Saccharomyces cerevisiae S288C: one gene and its partner. The protein of the gene in region 1 binds, or shares a complex with, the protein of each later gene. Each region holds a gene or a part of one and is shown in the gene's direction. Other genes may lie near its edges. The genes, in order: NCB2 and BUR6.

What was found.
Region 2: NCB2 (region 1) and BUR6 share a complex: the UniProt entries of both Saccharomyces cerevisiae proteins name them as parts of the NC2 (negative cofactor 2) complex.

What each region holds. Positions count from the first base shown.
Region 1 is NC_001136.10:1,263,765-1,274,987, reverse strand, and holds NCB2 (negative cofactor 2 transcription regulator complex subunit NCB2), read left to right. Parts: upstream 1-8,089; coding exon 8,090-8,126; intron 8,127-8,218; coding exon 8,219-8,622; downstream 8,623-11,223. Other genes in the region: DIT1 (Dit1p), read right to left, coding at 1-386; DIT2 (putative cytochrome P450), read left to right, coding at 1,285-2,754; URH1 (trifunctional uridine nucleosidase/nicotinamide riboside hydrolase/nicotinic acid riboside hydrolase), read right to left, coding at 2,903-3,925; HPT1 (hypoxanthine phosphoribosyltransferase), read right to left, coding at 4,255-4,920; UTP5 (Utp5p), read right to left, coding at 5,586-7,517; SXM1 (Sxm1p), read right to left, coding at 8,830-11,223. UniProt on the Saccharomyces cerevisiae protein: Component of the NC2 complex which represses RNA polymerase II transcription through binding to SPT15/TBP and thereby inhibiting the assembly of the preinitiation complex.
Region 2 is NC_001137.3:486,653-497,945, reverse strand, and holds BUR6 (negative cofactor 2 transcription regulator complex subunit BUR6), read left to right. Parts: upstream 1-5,987; coding exon 5,988-6,416; downstream 6,417-11,293. Other genes in the region: YER159C-A (gag protein), read left to right, coding at 1-1,144; YER158C (uncharacterized protein), read left to right, coding at 7,368-9,089; Golgi transport complex subunit COG3, read right to left, coding at 10,753-11,293. UniProt on the Saccharomyces cerevisiae protein: Component of the NC2 complex which represses RNA polymerase II transcription through binding to SPT15/TBP and thereby inhibiting the assembly of the preinitiation complex.

The sequences.
Region 1 (11,223 bases):
TGGCGTTCGTCATCGCGTGTATATTCAGAAATCTTTATTGCCACTCCTAAATTATTGGTAAATTTATTTGCTAAAGAAGCTGGCAAAATTCTTTCAGAAACCCGTCCACTTACTTCGGATTCAGAAAAGTCCAGATTGTGAATAGTGTTGATAAAGTCGAGCCATTGGTCTCCAAATTTACAATTCTGTTTTTCCTCTAAAGAGTAAAAATCGTCACATTTGTCGCTTCTGCAATACAGGGCCAGAAATTTACTATATGTAGACAAATCGGCCCCATTATGGGGAATATCAATATCTTTCAACGTATCAGTCGATGAAGAAAATGAAGAGGCAGGTGGTGATATTGACTGCTCGGAGCTTGAGGGCAAGTTGCTAGTAAATGTCATTTTTGTTAATGTCTCGACAAAGCTTTACCGAATTAGGATATTAACAAATTGTTTATTTAGTCAAGACTTTGCGGAGGAGCACAATTTATGTGAAAATTTATTTCAATATTTATACATCATTTTTGATTCTGAACCTATTTTCAGAAATTGTTTTACAACATCGTAGGGCAGGCACTATGCCCTTGCAAATTTTATGATATACTGTCCACTGAAAGCAATGCAATCAAAATTCAAATAAACTCCTGAGGGGCCAATAATATAAGGATTTTTAGCACGCGACGTCTGGGATTGAGTGCCATGTATGTAAAGACGAGCAATTACTTTATGTTCCCTTATTTGTGAGGGGTTCCTGGTTTGCTTTTTTCGATCAATTCTCCTGATATTATTGAGTAAATTAGACAAATTGTTAGGAAACAACAAATTCCGATGCTTACTTACCCCTTAAATTTTCTCATTGCTCTTCATTGAGGTTGCATACCTCACCATATTTGTCATAGAAGGTCCCTTAAGGCGCCTTTTTATTTTTTCTTGGCAAGAGAACCCTTTTATTTATGGCCAGACGCGCGTCGCAAAAAAAGGTAAACATCAATAATTTTCCTTCCAGGGACTCTCAATAAAAAGACTGTAACTTGTATTATCAAATTGAGAAGCAATTACGTATTCCACCCCTCATTACTTCCCCGATACAATTTATTTTCACTTCTTTCGATGAATGCAGTGATTTCTATCTTTCCCGAAAATTACAAGCCACGGACCACAAGAGGAATGACTGGTCATCCTGATGCGAATAGTATATTAGGTAGTGCAAAAAAATACATTAATTTTCTTGAAATATTTTCGTTTTTTCAAAATGGTATTTGATTCAGACTAAGAGAATAAATCGAAAAAAGCATTAAAAATGGAGTTGTTAAAGCTTCTGTGTTTGATTTTATTTCTTACTCTTTCCTATGTCGCCTTTGCAATCATTGTCCCACCTCTAAACTTTCCCAAAAATATACCCACCATCCCATTTTATGTAGTATTTTTACCAGTAATATTTCCCATTGATCAAACGGAGCTATACGATCTTTATATTAGGGAATCAATGGAAAAATACGGTGCTGTAAAATTTTTCTTTGGTTCACGGTGGAATATTCTCGTTTCTCGTTCTGAGTATCTAGCACAAATATTCAAAGATGAAGATACTTTTGCGAAGAGCGGTAATCAAAAGAAAATCCCATACAGTGCTCTTGCCGCTTACACAGGGGACAATGTCATTAGCGCGTATGGTGCAGTTTGGAGAAACTACAGAAATGCTGTGACAAACGGGCTCCAACATTTTGACGATGCACCTATATTCAAAAATGCAAAAATTTTATGCACTTTGATAAAAAACAGACTCCTAGAAGGACAAACTTCGATCCCTATGGGACCTTTATCCCAGAGAATGGCATTGGATAACATTTCACAGGTTGCCCTTGGATTTGATTTTGGTGCTCTAACACATGAAAAAAATGCTTTCCACGAGCATTTGATTCGTATTAAAAAGCAAATATTTCATCCATTCTTTTTAACTTTTCCATTCCTTGATGTTCTTCCTATTCCTTCAAGAAAAAAAGCCTTCAAGGATGTTGTTAGTTTTAGAGAACTTCTCGTTAAAAGAGTTCAAGATGAATTAGTCAATAATTACAAATTTGAACAAACTACTTTTGCTGCCAGTGATCTAATTCGTGCTCACAATAACGAAATAATCGACTACAAACAGTTGACCGATAATATCGTCATTATCCTTGTCGCTGGCCATGAAAACCCGCAGTTGCTATTTAATAGTTCACTCTACCTTCTAGCCAAATATTCAAATGAATGGCAAGAGAAACTCAGGAAGGAAGTAAACGGCATCACTGATCCAAAAGGCTTAGCAGATTTACCCTTATTAAATGCTTTTCTCTTCGAAGTAGTAAGAATGTATCCTCCTTTGAGCACAATTATTAATAGATGTACTACCAAAACGTGCAAGTTGGGGGCGGAAATTGTTATACCCAAGGGCGTATATGTCGGGTACAACAACTTTGGAACCTCACACGATCCCAAAACTTGGGGCACAACAGCAGATGATTTTAAACCAGAAAGATGGGGTTCAGATATCGAAACCATAAGGAAAAACTGGAGAATGGCGAAAAACAGATGTGCTGTGACTGGGTTCCATGGAGGCCGAAGAGCATGCCTAGGGGAAAAACTAGCCCTAACAGAAATGAGAATTTCTTTGGCTGAAATGTTGAAACAGTTTCGATGGAGTCTTGACCCTGAATGGGAAGAAAAATTAACTCCCGCTGGGCCTCTTTGCCCTCTTAATTTAAAGTTAAAATTTAACGAGAATATAATGGAATAAATATAAAACATGTAGAATTGTATATATACGCATATATGTATACAATCGCGACAACTTTTAGTGAAACTTCTTTGTATCCAGTGAAAATGAAAGGAACAGAACCTGACCAAAGGTCAGTAGAAAAAAAAAAAGCCTTTTATAGAAGTTCTTATCCAATCGTTGACATTTTGTCTGCTCTATTTAATGCTTCAAAAATCTGATCCCAAAAGTACTGGATATTCAAATCGAGACCAATTATTGTACCAACATCACTGTCATTTGGATATTCTTTTTCAATGATAATTTTCCCTGAGTTTTCGTTGAAAACATCATCAATGCAGGATATGTCCATTCTCTTGTAGCGAAATCCAACCGCAGACGATGGATCCCACCCATAAAATTCCAAAAGCGGCATCAAAGCTACCGGATCATGTATAGGTGGGCCCGATTCAAATCCTTGCATATCCTTGTAGGTATGAGCAAAAAATTGAAAAAGCTCCAAAAACAATTCTCGTAACTTGCTGTTATTCTTTTCGTTGTATATCATTTCGTTAACCTTGTAAGTAGCTATGGCCTTGTGAGTTAAATTTAGAGGAACTACTATACATTTGTCCTTTACATCGGGATCACGGAATATGTAATTCGCTGCGTCAGGATCAATCCAAACGTTGAATTCAGCAGAAAGATTTGGGTTACAGTTTCCTAGACCATGGAGTCCACCCCCCATAATGCTAATATATTTGACAGATTTTTTTAGGTATGGTTTACACCTAAAAACTGTTGCTAATGTGGTAAGTGCACCAGTAGACACAAAGGATATCTCTCCATTGTTAGCTAGAATCGCCTCTTCAATGGCCTCAATATACGTTTTATCAGTTCTTGCCTCAAATGTTGGCTTAGGTAGCAAAGAAGTGCCGTCTAAACCTGATATACCATGAATGTCAGGAGCATAATGAGGTTCCCTTTTCCAAGGTCTCTGTGCGCCTTTATAAACTGGAATCGCTTGTGCTTTGCCCATCGCAGTCAAAAGAGAACGGGCGTTGTAGTCAGTATTCTCTGGCGGTGCGTTACCAAAACACGTGCTGATTCCTAGAAGATTGAAAGCTGGATGGAAACAGCCTAATAAAATGGCTATGGCATCATCATGACCAGGATCACAATCTAGCCATATGGGTATTTTACTAACAGTCATCTTTTCTTCAAACAGTCGCTGGTTATTGCTGTCCAACCCTTCCCCAACCTTGCAGATGAGGGAAATTATCTGTTTTAATAAGTTTCGTGAGGTAAAAAAATCAGCAGATTCCATCAAAAGTAGTTGTCACGTATGTGTCAAATATCGCGTTACGTGGTGGTGAACAGAGGGAAAACGTAATCGCGCCTCACAGGTTACCGGTGAGGCTAAGGGAATAAACTTTGAGATAATAATTAGTTATACGTATACATATGGTCGCAGTTATATGCGTTGTCTATTGTACAAATTCTGCTGTATGATTCAAGTTACTGAAGGATATGATATGTCTATCATTGCTTGTGTTCCTGCTCAGGAATAAAGATGTCATTGCCCTGTTCAATAGCCATTCTAGTATGGAAAACAATGTCAGTAGATTCCCATGGATATGCATACCACTTGTCTGGAACAGTTTTAGCTGCAAAATAACGGTTCTTGTCATTCAACATTTCGGCAGGCAAATCTGCTTTCTTTGGTTTTTGCTTATCGTGTAGAACAAAAATCCCGAAGTTTGTTTTCATCTCTGGAGACTTTTCAGTATCGATACCTTTAGCCTTTGCCTGTTCAGCTGCATCCTTTTCCAATTCACTCAAAGCGTAATGAAGTGTGGTACGGGTGTCATCGACTTCGTCAACGATAAGAACGTTCTTGCCGACTAGATCTAATTTACATTGCTCGTAATCAATCCATTGTGTTCTGCTAACCTTAACACCAACTTCCTCAACTTCTGAGCCTACACTGTTCAAATCTTCGTACAAAGACAAAATAATAGCAAAAATTCTGATGGTTGGCACGCCGGGCTCCTTTAGGAACGTACGTAGGATCCTAGCAGGAATGAAACCACCACCACCAATGGCAATGATTAAGTCCGGCTTGAAATTCTTAATTCTCTCAGCGGATACTTGACATAGTTGATGTACGTTGTTGTACGAGATGTATTGCTTATCGTTTGCCGACATTATGGGAACGTAATGGATATAATGAACACGAACGGTAATATAAAAATAAGAAAGATTACAAGGCACTACATCGTATTACTCCAGCTAGATGGAGACTAAAATAAAAAAGTTACGGCAAACCAAACTGCGAAGGGGGAACAAAATCTAACGGAAATTGGGCTTATCAAACATGTTTAAATAGAAAATTCTATAGCAGCTCATCGCTACCCGATTTGGGACAGATGGAGGGGGAAAAATTTTTTTTCCTTTTCTTTCCTAGTAAACGCGAAATATAGAGAAAAAAAATGAAAGAAGTCAGATAAGCGGAAATGATATTAATTGAAATTAATCTAATTAATTTTTTCAGAAGAAAAAAAAAATAAGTGACTCGGAAGGGAAATATGTACTGTCTTTTCTTAGTTAACCAACTATGGTTGTGACGTAAAAGTGGAGTGCTTGCTTGATGTTCCAGATGGCCTTACTGTTAACGATGCCAGATGCAGTTCAAAAAGGATAAACGATTGTGGGGGTCTTTTGACAGATCTTCTTCGCGTGGGATACTTTCGTGATCTTTTTTTTTCTTTTTTCTTTTCTTACATTATGTGGTGAACTCTATATAAGTATTTATGTGCCTAGAGATTATTTTTGTATTCTGATGCGTGAAAGCATTTTATGCATGATATCCTCTATTCCATCTCAACGTCACTATATCCGGCTTCCTCCTCGCCGTCGCTCTGCTCCGTTTCTAAACGGCCATCTTGCTTAGATGAGGTATGCTTCTGTTCCTCTTCGTTGTCACTATCACCTTCTTCTTCTTCTTCACTGCCATAAGATTCTTCACCGTCCTCTATAAGGCCGGCATCATCGAGTTCTTCGTTATATTCAACGTCGTCTTCGTCCTCTTCGACAACTGGTTCGGATGAGTGGATGTCGCCTGCTTCATAGTTCAAAGTTTTGAATTTATTTATAGTACAGTCTAACCTTGCATCCAGTGCTAGTAGCCTTGGTAATAAGTCGGAACGCCTTTTCAAGGTGGAATGTAACGACGATAGAGTAGACATCAAATTTGGAATAGAAACCAAATAGCCACCGTGTATGATTAAACACCATTTTACCCAAACATTCAATGGGCCTTGACGGTGGGTTTGTCTTGCAATCCTCTCTGCCAACCTTTCTAAGAGAATGACAGCCAGTGCTGGTTTCAGACGGAAGATAGTATCCCTAATGACCCTCTCGTCACGATTATTGAGCACTGTTTCCAACAGTGAATGATCATTTGATTGTAGTGCTTGCGACAGAATTACTGTTACCGTCCCGGTTGTCGTAGCAGTCTTGAGATTGGAACCTTTTAAATTTGTTTTTTTCCCACTAATCCTTGCGACGGTGCTTGATTCTAGCTTATCACCAAATGTTTCTGTTAATAGTTCATTGGCCTGTGGGGGCTTGGCCTGTTCTTGTTCCAAAGAAGTCAATTCTCTTTCCCAGCTCTTTATAGCGTCATCAACATGCTTGAAGTTATCTCCAGAGGTGACTCTTGCATTACCTTCCACGTAGTTGGTGGCTGAGGCAAGATCTTTACCGTGTAGATCGCGATCGGCGGACTTATTTTTATTATTCCAATTTAGGGAAATTTCGACGGTATATTCATTAGGGATTTCTCTCCACTGCAAGTTCTTGAAGTAAGGCATAGTAGCATTTTGTAACCACGATACGTTCAAAAGGTCTTTATTAATAAATGCGTTATAAATTGGAACTTTCCTGCCGTCTTTACTGACGATTTGAATCTTTTTGCTGGATTTTTTGGACTTGTTGCCTCTTTTCTTTGTTGAACTCGATACCAATGGATCAACAAAAATTTCCAAGCTACCATCCTCGGTAGTGACTGCGATAGAATCGGCTTGGCCTGAATGAGATAACTCCTTGATATCTGATTCAGCCACAAGGACGCATTTGGTCATACCGGAATGAATATCATATACGTTCAAGAATCTATCACCCTCTGCGCCTGATATGAAAAATTCATTAGTTATAACTTGCAATGTGGACACTGGAGATACATGACCGGGAAATGTCATTACGACTTTTTTCTCTTCGATGTCTATTAAAGAAATGGAATGGGATGCAACCAAAAGTTGTGCAACAGAATCGCCTGCTGGAACAATGGTTAGTTTATTCAATTGAACGCAGTTGTTTATTCTAAAATGTTGTAACAGTTTGAATTGTAACAGATCGAACTGATAGAATGCGTCGCTGGAGTCGATACACCACAGTTGATTACCCATCAAGTCTATGTCTTTGATTTCGTAAGAATTCCCCGTAGTGAATTTATAGGTGACTTCGTTGGCCAATACGGAATATAGCCAAATTTCACCGTTATTCATACCCAATATAATAGCCACTGTGTCGGAAGAAGCCAGGTTTACCCATTTTAAGCACGTCACCTTCAATTTCGAGTCCTCTAAATACAGAAAATTCTCATTCCACACTGTATCAACTCCGGAGGAAGTGGCCCTTTGAGTGGGCTGTACACCAACGCGTTGCTTGTCCAAAGCTACAGTGACATAACACAAATACTGACCTGATGGGTCATAAGCGGACTGTAGAACAGGAGAATCCATCGGTAATGAACAATTATAAGGCAAATGTGTCTTTTACCCTCTTGCTAAGCCAAGTTTAAACTATATATGCTCTGCATCTATCTTTACATACATATATCCTATCCAATACTTGTTAATTTTTTCACCTCATCGCTTCAGCTGCGAAAGATTAGAAAAAGAAATGAAAAAAAATTGGATAAAATTTTTTTGTCAAGAAGCTCATCCCCGTGTTAAATGACAATCAAAGAATAAGGGGAACTGTACAACACGTTCAACCAAAACTATTGTAAAGAAATGCCACCACTATGCAGCATAGCCTGTTCATGCGAATAGTCGCCGCAAAAATTACGATCTGGTTTAATCAGCTCGGGCTCTTATCTTTGGCGTATTCCAGTATGTGCAATTAACTCTTGCACCACTTTAAAACGCCCAGCCCGCTGCACTCTCCCTCCTATATAAATGGAAGCGGTTTTTGGTCGCGCTTTTCGCCCTCTGCTCGCCTTGTCGATTTCTATCGTGCAGAGTTACCAGTATAAGGTGGGCAAGAAATCATAACGATATTTACTAATACAGTTGTACCTATTAATTAATTGATGGCTGGAGACTCCGATAATGTGTCGCTTCCCAAGGGTATGTTAGTTATATTGTTGTTGCAAAACTCAAGCTTTGATGCGGGTACTGAGCGGTTATACTAACTTAGAGAAAACACTGAATGATCTTAGCGACCGTACAAAAGATGATATCTGAAATACTGGACCAGGATTTGATGTTTACCAAGGATGCAAGAGAAATCATCATCAACTCCGGCATAGAATTCATAATGATCCTGTCCTCGATGGCTTCCGAAATGGCGGACAACGAGGCTAAGAAAACCATAGCGCCCGAGCACGTGATCAAAGCGCTAGAAGAGTTGGAGTATAATGAGTTTATACCATTCTTAGAGGAAATATTATTGAATTTTAAGGGTTCCCAGAAGGTGAAAGAAACTAGGGATTCCAAGTTCAAGAAGTCAGGTCTCTCGGAAGAAGAGCTGCTACGACAACAAGAGGAGTTGTTTAGACAGTCAAGGTCCAGATTACACCACAATAGTGTATCTGATCCGGTTAAGTCGGAGGATTCTTCTTGAATAGAAGCTTCTAAACAAAGTAATGCTATATACGAAAATAAACCACATGGGAATATGTTAAGCGCATGCATGTATGTAATAAAAACGAAGACAAGTCCAAAAAAAAAAAAGAACGAAAAAGAAACAACTTTTATATTTGTATATTAGAGTATAAACTAATATCCTTATTTCAAACTATCACATTCCACTATTTTTTTTGTGTTCTCCTCAGTGTTGAGAAACAAATTCCAGAATTACCTGCAAGGAATCTCTCTTAGATTCATCCAGATAATTTATGATTTTTTCGTACTTACCGGCATCTTCGTTTTGCAAATTCTTGAAAAAGGTATGTACTTCCTGGAAAACATTAATTTGGTCTAACACTGTCTCCTTCATATCATCATCACATTCGATAAAGTATTCTTCTTCTTCTTCTGGGGTCAGGTCTCCTTCTAAGGATTTGCCCTCGGTAACAGCATCACGGTTTCTAATTGCCTTTGGCAATGATAATGTCAATTCCACCAGTTTATTGGTCAGGTTATTTAGTAGTGGGCTGACACTATTAGGAACTTCAGGCATCTTCAAAAGGGTTAAAATGACCAGGACTTGTAATTTGATGGCGAAGACACTGTAGAACTTTTCATTAAACCAATTGGTAAAGAAATTTATAGTAAAACCTTCATTTTCCATTATTTGTAAAGTTTCGATTGGTTTAGCAAACAAATTGGCCAGTCCCAGTTTAACGATGCATTTAGAGTCCAATCCTAGCTCATCATTAGTGGATACTTTGATGGCTTTGCTGAATAATGGAATGTCTCTCATGGACAGTGCGAAGTACATTAGAATTTGCATAACATGCTCGATGTCGTAGTCAACTTCACTTTCCAGTTTAGCAGAGAGAATTTCTAGCAGAGGTTGAACATAAGTTTGATCTTGTGGGAAGCCGGTCATCACGATGGTTTCAAAAAAAATACTGTAGGCCTCAAAATAGTCCATGGCATAAGTTTGGAAAGAATCCAATATATCATGTAACAACTCCCATATTGGTGGTGCAATTTGGTTATAAAGCAGATGCGAAGAAATAGTTAAAGCATCCAGTAAGTCGACAGCTTCCGTAATAAAAGAAATTTGTGCATGAAGTACAACAAACTTGACCACGGGAGCTAAGGACTCGATTAATGGAACTTTATTCATTGACATGACCATAGTAGTCATTGTTTGTAACAATCCACTGGCCTGGATTTCCTGCTCTTGGTCACTTGCGCTGTAGGTTTCCGATGGATTTTCTACCAATGCTTGAGCAATACGTAAAAATTGTTCGACTAGGTTTGAAGCTAAATCTTTAGCAAATGGGGATAGTTCATCTGAAAATCTCTCCACCAATGCTTCCATGACTTCAGATAAGATATCGATTTCAAAGATTTTAGACAATTTCAATAGCTTTTCCATCATACCTGGAACATGAGCAGAGACCGCTGGGTGGATTTGAGGATTGGATACAATTAAACATTTAATGGCATCTGCGGCCTCAATTTGGACTGGTAAAACGTTACTGTTTAAGAAGTTGGTATATGTTAACTCAAATAATTGTGACAATATGTTCATATCTTTAAATTCTTCCGAATACAGCGCTATCGTTTCCAAACTTCTTGCAACCAAAAACATGTACTTATCCTGCGATAACAATGGCACGATGAAGTGTCCAAAAATATTCTCCAGAACGGATGGCTCATCTATAAACGAAAACAAGTTAGACAATGTTCTCAAAGCACCCTCTTCTTTAAATGCCATGTTAATATCACTGGAATTGGCATCGAATCTAGTAAAAATATCATTAATGAACGGTAAAATATTGTTCAGTTTCTCAGGACGTTTGGACCCAATCAAGAATATGAAATCTGCTGAAGCAGCATCTGGCGTAGAGCCTTCTCTGTTAATGTCAAAATAACGCCTGGTATATTCCTCTTGGTCATCTTCTAATAATTCGATGGATTGTTCATTAGCACACAAACATGGGAAGATGACGTTCTCAAAAATAATTTGTAAATGTGGCTCAATTAAAGGATAAAGTTGATCTATTGTAACACATTTCTCTAGGAATGAAATTAAGAAATACAAAGAGGAATCGGATAACCATAGTGAATTATTACCCCAAGCTTCAATATCCTTAAAAAATTCTCGAAGAATTATAGGAACAATAGTATTGAAGATATAGTCGATAAATTCCTTGGTGATGGCCTTTGTAATTTTGTTGTATCTTTGCAGGAATCTGTTTAAGTTACCGAACCCCCATTTGTTCACTTTAACCCTTTTGTCTAGGGACCTATCTGCGGGATCCAGTTCCATTACTTCGACTGGTAATGGTTTGGAACATAAATACAAATGTAGTTGCACCCATGACATAATTCTTTCAGGTTGGCTGAAGTATTGAGGCAAGTTGTTCAAACATGCATACTTGAATGACTTCAAAATGAGGTACAATATTTCATTAGATCTGTAATCCGTTTGACTACCGATATTAGAAGCTATCCCTTCCACAATAGGGAAAAGTTCTTCGATAACAGAATCAATATAATCTCTCGACCCAACCATGTCCCACCTATGAGCTTTACAAAGTTGGAA
Region 2 (11,293 bases), on another chromosome or scaffold:
ATCAGCTGTTCCAGAGAACCCCCATCATGCCTCTCCTCAACCTGCTTCAGTACCACCTCCACAGAATGGGCCGTACCCACAGCAGTGCATGATGACCCAAAACCAAGCCAATCCATCTGGTTGGTCATTTTACGGACACCCATCTATGATTCCGTATACACCTTATCAAATGTCGCCTATGTACTTTCCACCTGGGCCACAATCACAGTTTCCGCAGTATCCATCATCAGTTGGAACGCCTCTGAGCACTCCATCACCTGAGTCAGGTAATACATTTACTGATTCATCCTCAGCGGACTCTGATATGACATCCACTAAAAAATATGTCAGACCACCACCAATGTTAACCTCACCTAATGATTTTCCAAATTGGGTTAAAACATACATCAAATTTTTACAAAACTCGAATCTCGGTGGTATTATTCCGACAGTAAACGGAAAACCCGTACGTCAGATCACTGATGATGAACTCACCTTCTTGTATAACACTTTTCAAATATTTGCTCCCTCTCAATTCCTACCTACCTGGGTCAAAGACATCCTATCCGTTGATTATACGGATATCATGAAAATTCTTTCCAAAAGTATTGAAAAAATGCAATCTGATACCCAAGAGGCAAACGACATTGTGACCCTGGCAAATTTGCAATATAATGGCAGTACACCTGCAGATGCATTTGAAACAAAAGTCACAAACATTATCGACAGACTGAACAATAATGGCATTCATATCAATAACAAGGTCGCATGCCAATTAATTATGAGAGGTCTATCTGGCGAATATAAATTTTTACGCTACACACGTCATCGACATCTAAATATGACAGTCGCTGAACTGTTCTTAGATATCCATGCTATTTATGAAGAACAACAGGGATCGAGAAACAGCAAACCTAATTACAGGAGAAATCCGAGTGATGAGAAGAATGATTCTCGCAGCTATACGAATACAACCAAACCCAAAGTTATAGCTCGGAATCCTCAAAAAACAAATAATTCGAAATCGAAAACAGCCAGGGCTCACAATGTATCCACATCTAATAACTCTCCCAGCACGGACAACGATTCCATCAGTAAATCAACTACTGAACCGATTCAATTGAACAATAAGCACGACCTTCATCTTAGGCCAGAAACTTACTGAATCTACAGTAAATCATACTAATCATTCTGATGATGAACTCCCTGGACACCTCCTTCTCGATTCAGGAGCATCACGAACCCTTATAAGATCTGCTCATCACATACACTCAGCATCATCTAATCCTGACATAAACGTAGTTGATGCTCAAAAAAGAAATATACCAATTAACGCTATTGGTGACCTACAATTTCACTTCCAGGACAACACCAAAACATCAATAAAGGTATTGCACACTCCTAACATAGCCTATGACTTACTCAGTTTGAATGAATTGGCTGCAGTAGATATCACAGCATGCTTTACCAAAAACGTCTTAGAACGGTCTGACGGCACTGTACTTGCACCTATCGTAAAATATGGAGACTTTTACTGGGTATCTAAAAAGTACTTGCTTCCATCAAATATCTCCGTACCCACCATCAATAATGTCCATACAAGTGAAAGTACACGCAAATATCCTTATCCTTTCATTCATCGAATGCTTGCACATGCCAATGCACAGACAATTCGATACTCACTTAAAAATAACACCATCACGTATTTTAACGAATCAGATGTCGACTGGTCTAGTGCTATTGACTATCAATGTCCTGATTGTTTAATCGGCAAAAGCACCAAACACAGACATATCAAAGGTTCACGACTAAAATACCAAAATTCATACGAACCCTTTCAATACCTACATACTGACATATTTGGTCCAGTTCACAACCTACCAAAAAGTGCACCATCCTATTTCATCTCATTTACTGATGAGACAACAAAATTCCGTTGGGTTTATCCATTACACGACCGTCGCGAGGACTCTATCCTCGATGTTTTTACTACGATACTAGCTTTTATTAAAAACCAGTTTCAGGCCAGTGTCTTGGTTATACAAATGGACCGTGGTTCTGAGTATACTAACAGAACTCTCCATAAATTCCTTGAAAAAAATGGTATAACTCCATGCTATACAACCACAGCGGATTCCCGAGCACATGGAGTCGCTGAACGGCTCAACCGTACCTTATTAGATGACTGCCGTACTCAACTGCAATGTAGTGGTTTACCGAACCATTTATGGTTCTCTGCAATCGAATTTTCTACTATTGTGAGAAATTCACTAGCTTCACCTAAAAGCAAAAAATCTGCAAGACAACATGCTGGCTTGGCAGGACTTGATATCAGTACTTTGTTACCTTTCGGTCAACCTGTTATCGTCAATGATCACAACCCTAACTCCAAAATACATCCTCGTGGCATCCCAGGCTACGCTCTACATCCGTCTCGAAACTCTTATGGATATATCATCTATCTTCCGTCCTTAAAGAAGACAGTAGATACAACTAACTATGTTATTCTTCAGGGCAAGGAATCCAGATTAGATCAATTCAATTACGACGCACTCACTTTCGATGAAGACTTAAACCGTTTAACTGCTTCATATCATTCGTTCATTGCGTCAAATGAGATCCAACAATCCAATGATCTTAACATAGAATCTGACCATGACTTCCAATCTGACATTGAACTACATCCTGAGCAACTGAGAAATGTCCTTTCAAAAGCTGTGAGTCCAACCGATTCCACACCTCCGTCAACTCATACTGAAGATTCGAAACGTGTTTCCAAAACCAATATTCGCGCACCCAGAGAAGTTGACCCCAACATATCTGAATCTAATATTCTTCCATCTAAGAAGAGATCTAGCACCCCCCAAATTTCCGATATCGAGAGTACCGGTTCGGGTGGTATGCATAGATTAGATGTTCCTTTACTTGCTCCCATGTCCCAATCTAACACACATGAGTCGTCGCACGCCAGTAAATCTAAAGATTTCAGACACTCAGACTCGTACAGTGACAATGAGACTAATCATACAAACGTACCAATATCCAGTACGGGTGGTACCAATAATAAAACTGTTCCGCAGACAAGCGAACAGGAGACTGAGAAAAGGATCATACACCGTTCACCTTCGATCGATACTTCCTCATCAGAAAGTAATTCACTACACCACGTCGTTCCTATCAAAACGTCAGATACCTGTCCTAAGGAGAATACAGAGGAATCTATTATCGCTGATCTTCCACTCCCCGATCTGCCTCCAGAACCTCCTACCGAATTATCAGACTCCTTTAAAGAACTCCCACCGATAAATTCTCATCAAACTAATTCCAGTTTGGGTGGTATTGGTGACTCTAATGCCTATACTACTATCAACAGTAAGAAAAGATCATTAGAAGATAATGAAACTGAAATTAAGGTATCACGAGACACATGGAATACTAAGAATATGCGTAGTTTAGAACCTCCGAGATCGAAGAAACGAATTCACCTGATTGCAGCTGTAAAAGCAGTAAAATCAATCAAACCAATACGAACAACCTTACGATACGATGAGGCAATCACCTATAATAAAGATATTAAAGAAAAAGAAAAATATATCCAGGCATACCACAAAGAAGTCAATCAACTGTTGAAGATGAAAACTTGGGACACTGACAGATATTATGACAGAAAAGAAATAGACCCCAAAAGAGTAATAAATTCAATGTTTATCTTTAACAGGAAACGTGACGGTACTCATAAAGCTAGATTTGTTGCAAGAGGTGATATTCAACATCCTGACACTTACGACCCAGGCATGCAATCCAATACCGTACATCACTATGCATTAATGACATCCCTGTCACTTGCATTAGACAATAACTACTATATTACACAATTAGACATATCTTCGGCATATTTGTATGCAGACATCAAAGAAGAACTATACATAAGACCTCCACCACATTTAGGAATGAATGATAAGTTAATACGTTTGAAGAAATCACTTTATGGATTGAAACAAAGTGGAGCGAACTGGTACGAAACTATCAAATCATACCTGATAAAACAGTGTGGTATGGAAGAAGTTCGTGGATGGTCATGCGTATTTAAGAATAGTCAAGTAACAATTTGCTTATTCGTTGATGATATGATATTGTTCAGCAAAGACTTAAATGCAAATAAGAAAATCATAACAACACTCAAGAAACAATACGATACAAAGATAATAAATCTGGGTGAAAGTGATAACGAAATTCAGTACGACATACTTGGCTTAGAAATCAAATATCAAAGAGGTAAATACATGAAATTAGGTATGGAAAACTCATTAACTGAAAAAATACCCAAACTAAACGTACCTTTGAACCCAAAAGGAAGGAAACTTAGCGCTCCAGGTCAACCAGGTCTATATATAGACCAGCAAGAACTAGAGCTAGAAGAAGATGATTACAAAATGAAGGTACATGAAATGCAAAAGCTGATAGGTCTAGCATCATATGTTGGATATAAATTTAGATTTGACCTATTATACTACATCAACACACTTGCACAACATATACTATTTCCGTCCAAGCAAGTGTTAGATATGACATATGAATTGATACAGTTCATATGGAATACGAGAGATAAGCAATTAATATGGCACAAAAGCAAACCTGTTAAGCCAACAAATAAATTAGTTGTTATAAGCGATGCATCGTATGGTAACCAACCGTATTATAAATCACAAATTGGCAACATATATTTACTTAATGGAAAAGTAATTGGAGGAAAGTCCACCAAGGCTTCATTAACATGTACTTCAACTACGGAAGCAGAAATACACGCGATAAGTGAATCTGTCCCATTATTAAATAACCTCAGTCACCTTGTGCAAGAACTTAACAAGAAACCAATTACTAAAGGATTACTAACCGACAGTAAATCTACAATCAGTATAATTATATCCAATAATGAAGAGAAATTTAGAAACAGATTTTTTGGTACTAAAGCAATGAGACTAAGAGATGAAGTATCAGGAAATCATCTGCACGTATGCTATATCGAAACCAAAAAGAATATTGCAGACGTAATGACCAAACCTCTTCCGATAAAAACATTCAAACTATTAACAAACAAATGGATTCATTAGATCTATTACATTATGGGTGGTATGTTGGAATAAAAATCCACTATCGTCTATCAACTAATAGTTATATTATCAATATATTATCATATACGGTGTTAAGATGATGACATAAGTTATGAGAAGCTGTCATCGATGTTAGAGGAAGCTGAAACGCAAGGATTGAAAAACGAACAACATGAGACAAAACCCGTCCTTCCCTAGCTGAACTACCCAAAAGTATAAATGCCTGAACAATTAGTTTAGATCCGAGATTCCGCGCTTCCACCACTTAGTATGATTCATATTTTATATAATATATAAGATAAGTAACATTCCGTGAATTAATCTGATAAACTGTTTTGACAACTGGTTACTTCCCTAAGACTGTTTATATTAGGATTGTCAAGACACTCCGGTATTACTCGAGCCCGTAATACAACACACTGAACATCCTATTCCTCGTGGCCCAATGGTCACGGCGTCTGGCTACGAACCAGAAGATTCCAGGTTCAAGTCCTGGCGGGGAAGGATTATTTTTCTTTTAATCAACTTTTTCGGATATCGTAACCCGGCATCTGTGTTACGTTGTGTGTTTATATTTTTTTAACTGTTCGTGAATTATGACATTCTATAAAAAAGAATCTTTTTGTATTTAAGGAGAAGAATTTTCCAGGCCAAAATTAATTTTTTTTTTTTTTGTCAGGTAGCGTGATATTTCCTATTACCCTTAAAACACATGAATTTGCGAAAGAAAGGGCAATGCACTGAGAAATAAAAAGGCAGGCAAAGAAAAACGTATACAAAAGGGGATTATTTTATTTTGGGGCATTAAAACCAAAAACGGAAAAAAAAGCACGTCACGAAAATAAAAATTCAAAAAAAAAAATAAAACCAGTTACAGTACTCATCACTACATTCTTAATGGCAGATCAAGTACCAGTTACAACACAACTACCACCAATAAAACCTGAACATGAGGTACCACTTGATGCTGGAGGGAGTCCAGTAGGTAACATGGGTACCAACTCGAATAACAACAACGAGCTAGGTGATGTATTCGACAGAATAAAGACACACTTCCCTCCGGCCAAGGTAAAGAAAATAATGCAGACAGACGAGGATATAGGAAAAGTTTCACAAGCCACGCCCGTAATAGCGGGCAGGTCCCTAGAGTTTTTTATAGCGTTATTGGTGAAAAAAAGCGGGGAGATGGCAAGAGGACAAGGAACCAAGAGAATAACCGCCGAAATACTAAAAAAAACAATTTTAAACGACGAAAAATTCGATTTCTTAAGGGAAGGTCTATGCGTAGAAGAAGGCCAAACACAACCGGAGGAAGAGAGTGCCTGAGCAGAACGGGGCGATGTAACTTAGTGTAAAATGAATACCACATCTATATATATCCATATACCAATGTATTTATATCTATATATGTCTGCACATATATATTATACTCTATTATCAAGGACGAAACGTAATCACATATGTATCAACGACAACCGGCGCCTCATGTAATCTGTACCTTTCTCTACAGTTACATAGCATGAGTATGTGTATTCCTATTTAGGAAAAAATTAACGCTATTCTTAAGGTTTACGAAAGAGCATGCATCACCCCATACGATCCCCGGAGTAACTCCCGCAGGTGGGTGTGCGGGCGCTCAGCCTGCTATACGATTTAGAAACGAGGCGCTGCGTTACCGTCTGTGACTTCTTAAATAAGATTTTTAGGTGTCCCATCCTTCCAACTGTGCCTACACCAGAAAGACAAAAAGAAAGGAGGAAAAAGAAAAGCTAATTTTTTCTTTCAAGTGCCAAAGGAAGCGGACGAAGGGCTAGCTCGAGGATTCTTGCAGCAACGGAGGAAGGAGTGTGAAAAATCGTTAAGGTTCTCGCGGTTTGCACCGCGTTGCGTTCGAGACACCAAAGAAATGTATACTTGCAGATTGTGCTGATATGCTAGTTTAAGCCCAAGCGGTCTGGTTGTTGGCTTCTTGCTTCTGATAATTACTTAATATTAATACCTCAAAATTACGCACTTGGAAATATAATACAGGCGTACTCCTTTTGTATTTGTCTTTCATCTGCACTTGACTTCAGCTTTCTTTACTACTGCTCTATATACAGTAATCTGTTTACACTCATCATCAAATAACTGAAGGAGAGCTACGGCAAAATACTTGTTTATTGTCATATTATTGCTATTGTTGTTTTTTCCGTGCTGACACAATAGGATTCATTTTACCAGGCTAAACACATAGCCACCACCGCTCGCTACTACTTCCACTCACTCTTAATCAGCATGTTACAGCAGGGTTCTTCCTCGAGGAGGAGTTTGCATGGTAATGATTTTCACACGCTCACTTCTCCTTCAAGGAGAGACTCTTTGAGTATTCCTAGGGCTGTGGACGCTAGATCTGCGTCTACGATTGATCTGTTCTACATACCGGATGCTACCGTCTCAAGGAGGCACTCTACTCTGGTGGCTAATAGATCAGACAATAATGGTAATGGCGCACCGATGCGCCAGTACAATAAACCTAACTTTGCTTCCTCCTCGACTTCATCTCTGCCTTCAACTAGAAATCGCCCCTCTCGCTACGATAACATGAATATGAATATGAATATGAATATGAACATGAACATGAACATGAACATGAACATGAACAACCATACTACCAGTGATCACAATGCGCACCCGCAATATCGTTGTAGACCAAACCCGTCCAGACGCCACTCCTTAATGACCATTCCCGAAAAGTACTCTGGTAGTCGCTACAGTCTCCGATCATCCCCGCCTACCTATTCTAATCCACGTGTTAGGAAGGAACTTACTCCTTTCCAATTACAAAGAAAGCAGATGAAAAGCGCTTTTCAATTCCCCAACGGTGAAAATTTCACGCCAAGAAACCAGATAGCAAGGCTTCCGCCATCTTCGACTTTTCCCGACTCTCCTTCTAGTTCATCGTTGCCTTTGACCCAGACTGGAGGCCCATCTTCCGCAGATAACGATTCCATTGCCACTGGCACGAACAATCGTTCTCCTCAACAAACGAAAGCTGCTGATGCTAATCAGAAATCTGAATCCGAGTCTCCAAAGGCAATTAGATCAAATTCTAAAAAGATATCTCGTTTCTTCAGGAAAATCTGGTCGTCCAAGTCATCAAATTCTGCAGATTCCGTAGAAGAGAATAGCAAAACAAAGCAGAAAAGGAAAAATCCGGAGAGAGTTGTACCAGAACCGATAACGTCCCTTGACCAACCGGTTGAAATTATAAAACAGAGTTTTTCAACCGTTAACAATCACGAAACGGCTGTACCTTCAATTAAGGACTCTGGCATAGTACAAGAATTGACAGCACTCGGAGATAATAACAGGATACCAGTTCTTCCACCCCCTAGGTCACCAAACAGACCTACACTGTCTGATAAACGAACTACAAAGTTATACTACTGTAGTCAAGATTCGTCTAATGAAGATATTGCTCCAGAGGAAAAGAGCACCGTTTTCTTAAAGCGTTTGCAGGATGAATGGTCTACCGTGTATTTAAACAAATTGCCTTTGACTGCTTCTGTGCCATCTTCTCTCTCTACCACTACTGATGCTGCGAACTCTTCGTTCATAAACTCTTCAATATCATCGCCGGCTCCTTCTTCTTCGTCCTCGTCATCGTTGGTTTCCCGTGGACCAATGCAATCCATATCTTCTTCGCCAACACCTGCCCCTTCTTCAGGGTCATCGAAATCTAAAAATGCCGTCAAATCCTTACGCTTTGCGGATGAGATTTATGTAAACGATACGTGGTCCGCCGCGGACTATTGCAGGTGTGATAATACCTTTTTGAATAATTTCTTTAAAGGAAAGAGCCAAGACATTACCAATCCTTCTACTTTTGTCGGTAATAATCTCTCATCCACAAAAAATATATCCAATATTGAAATCAAAATGGAGGTGAATGAGTTCAAAAGAAAGGAAATGCGCGTTCACCAGGATAGCGCTAAGTATACACATTACTACTTATAACGGGTTCATCAAGCTTTTTTCCTTCTTGAGACTCTGTTGTATCTCTTTATATATTCTATTTTATTTTATATGCATCGAACTTTTTACGTAAGATAAATACTTACTACATTTTGGATAATTGTTTTAACAGGTTAATTTCTATAATCTATTTTTTATCTGCTCTTATAGCATTCAAATATTTGCAGCGGTAAAAAATTATGGTTAAGACCCGCGCGACTGTAAAAATAGCGCGTAAGATTTCCCTGAAGAGCGATGAGTTTTAACATTTAAAAGATATGTCTGAGATCAATCGCTTTTTTACCAGCTACCTAACTTTATAACCTTAACCGATAATTAGAATTTTTTACAGTGATTATCTAAGAGTGTTAATGAAGTTTTTATTGATGGATGCTTGCTTAACGCGGGGGCTCGAAAATTACTTAATCACATTTTTATCGCCTATGGACATACTGATAGGGAATATTTGAATTATATCATTTCGAATAATGTTCAGAATATAGTGCTGTGGTAATAATCTTAAGATGATAAATTTTAATTCACATAAAAAACTGTAATACCAATGTAGGTATTTACATCGTAATTTCTGGGGATCTCGTACAGGTTTACATGCCCCATTATACCAATAACAAAATGGGAGAGATTTAAAAATGGACTGTTCAACCAGTGGTGCAATGTAAGGTGAAGGGCTATTTGTAGAGAATGTGGATTTTGATGTAATTGTTGGGATTCCATTGTGATTAAGGCTATAATATTAGGTATGTAGATATACTAGAAGTTCTCCTCTAGGATTTAGGAATCCATAAAAGGGAATCTGCAATTCTACACAATTCTATAAATATTATTATCATCGTTTTATATGTTAATATTCATTGATCCTATTACATTATCAATCCTTGCGTTTCAGCTTCCACTAATTTAGATGACTATTTCTCATCATTTGCGTCATCTTCTAACACCGTATATGATAATATACTAGTAACGTAAATACTAGTTAGTAGATGATAGTTGATTTTTATTCCAACACTATTAATCATACAAATACTTTGAAAACTTCTTTAAATAATCTCATAAATCTTTACATTGAACTAGGATGATAAAAGTGAGCTTAACGTCAATAAATCCCACTGAACCAAAAATATGAGTAAGTAGTAGTACATTACGATACAGTTCGATTCACCTTTCTCCGGTATCTGTCACCTAGAAAACTTACGAACCGCAATGTTAAGGCAAATTCAAATCTAACAAATGAATTCCACTGTTGTTATGTTTGCATGCATCTAGGTGCGTTGTGGTCCACGAGATAACAACCTTAATGTCTCTTGGTTGATCACTACTTTGGCAGCGATCTTAATTTGTTTATATATTTTGACTTTATTGATTACTTGTTTAAATGAGTTGCTTGAATTGTTAACGAATTTACAATATTCGGAGCCCTAAAAAATTCATGAATTTAATCCGATATAGTGTAACGGCTATCACATCACGCTTTCACCGTGGAGACCGGGGTTCGACTCCCCGTATCGGAGTATTCGTTATATTTTTTCAATCGCTTACGATCAAAAGCTTTGAAAACATTTTTTTTACCGTGTAATGTAATTTTTATTTCGATATCAGATTTATGTATGCATGAAAATTATAGAAAAAGTTGAAATTACACATAAGTTTATTTCGTTATGGTATCAATATCACCATTTCTTAAAAGATCCGCCACCTCTTTGGCAAAAAAATCTGTGAAGACGTCCAAGTACATTACGTCTGCGACTTGATCCTTAGCAAACTTTCCATTTTCTGCCAATTCAGTTATAGTTTCATAATATTTGGAATATGATTGTGTAATTAACTCTTGCACAGCGTCTAATAAATTAGTAACAATCTCTTGATCATCGATATAGTTCAATATCTGTTCATATATTCTTGGTAATCTGGCCTTTATATTCTCTCTTAATTTTACGTTTTTGCTTAACAGATCTTCATCACTATTGATATCTAAAGTGTCATCAATAAGCTCCAAAGAAGTGCTTTCAGTAAAATCTTTAATGACGTTTCTCAATTCAGATATGAGTTCCGTACGGGCGTCCACCATATTGTTTACAACTTTTGGAACCAGCTCTCTTGCCAGGGTCAATATTGAAGATGACTTTGTCTTTTTCAAAACGTTTCTACCATTTTCTTTAAGTGATTTGAAAAACCCCTCAACACCAGAA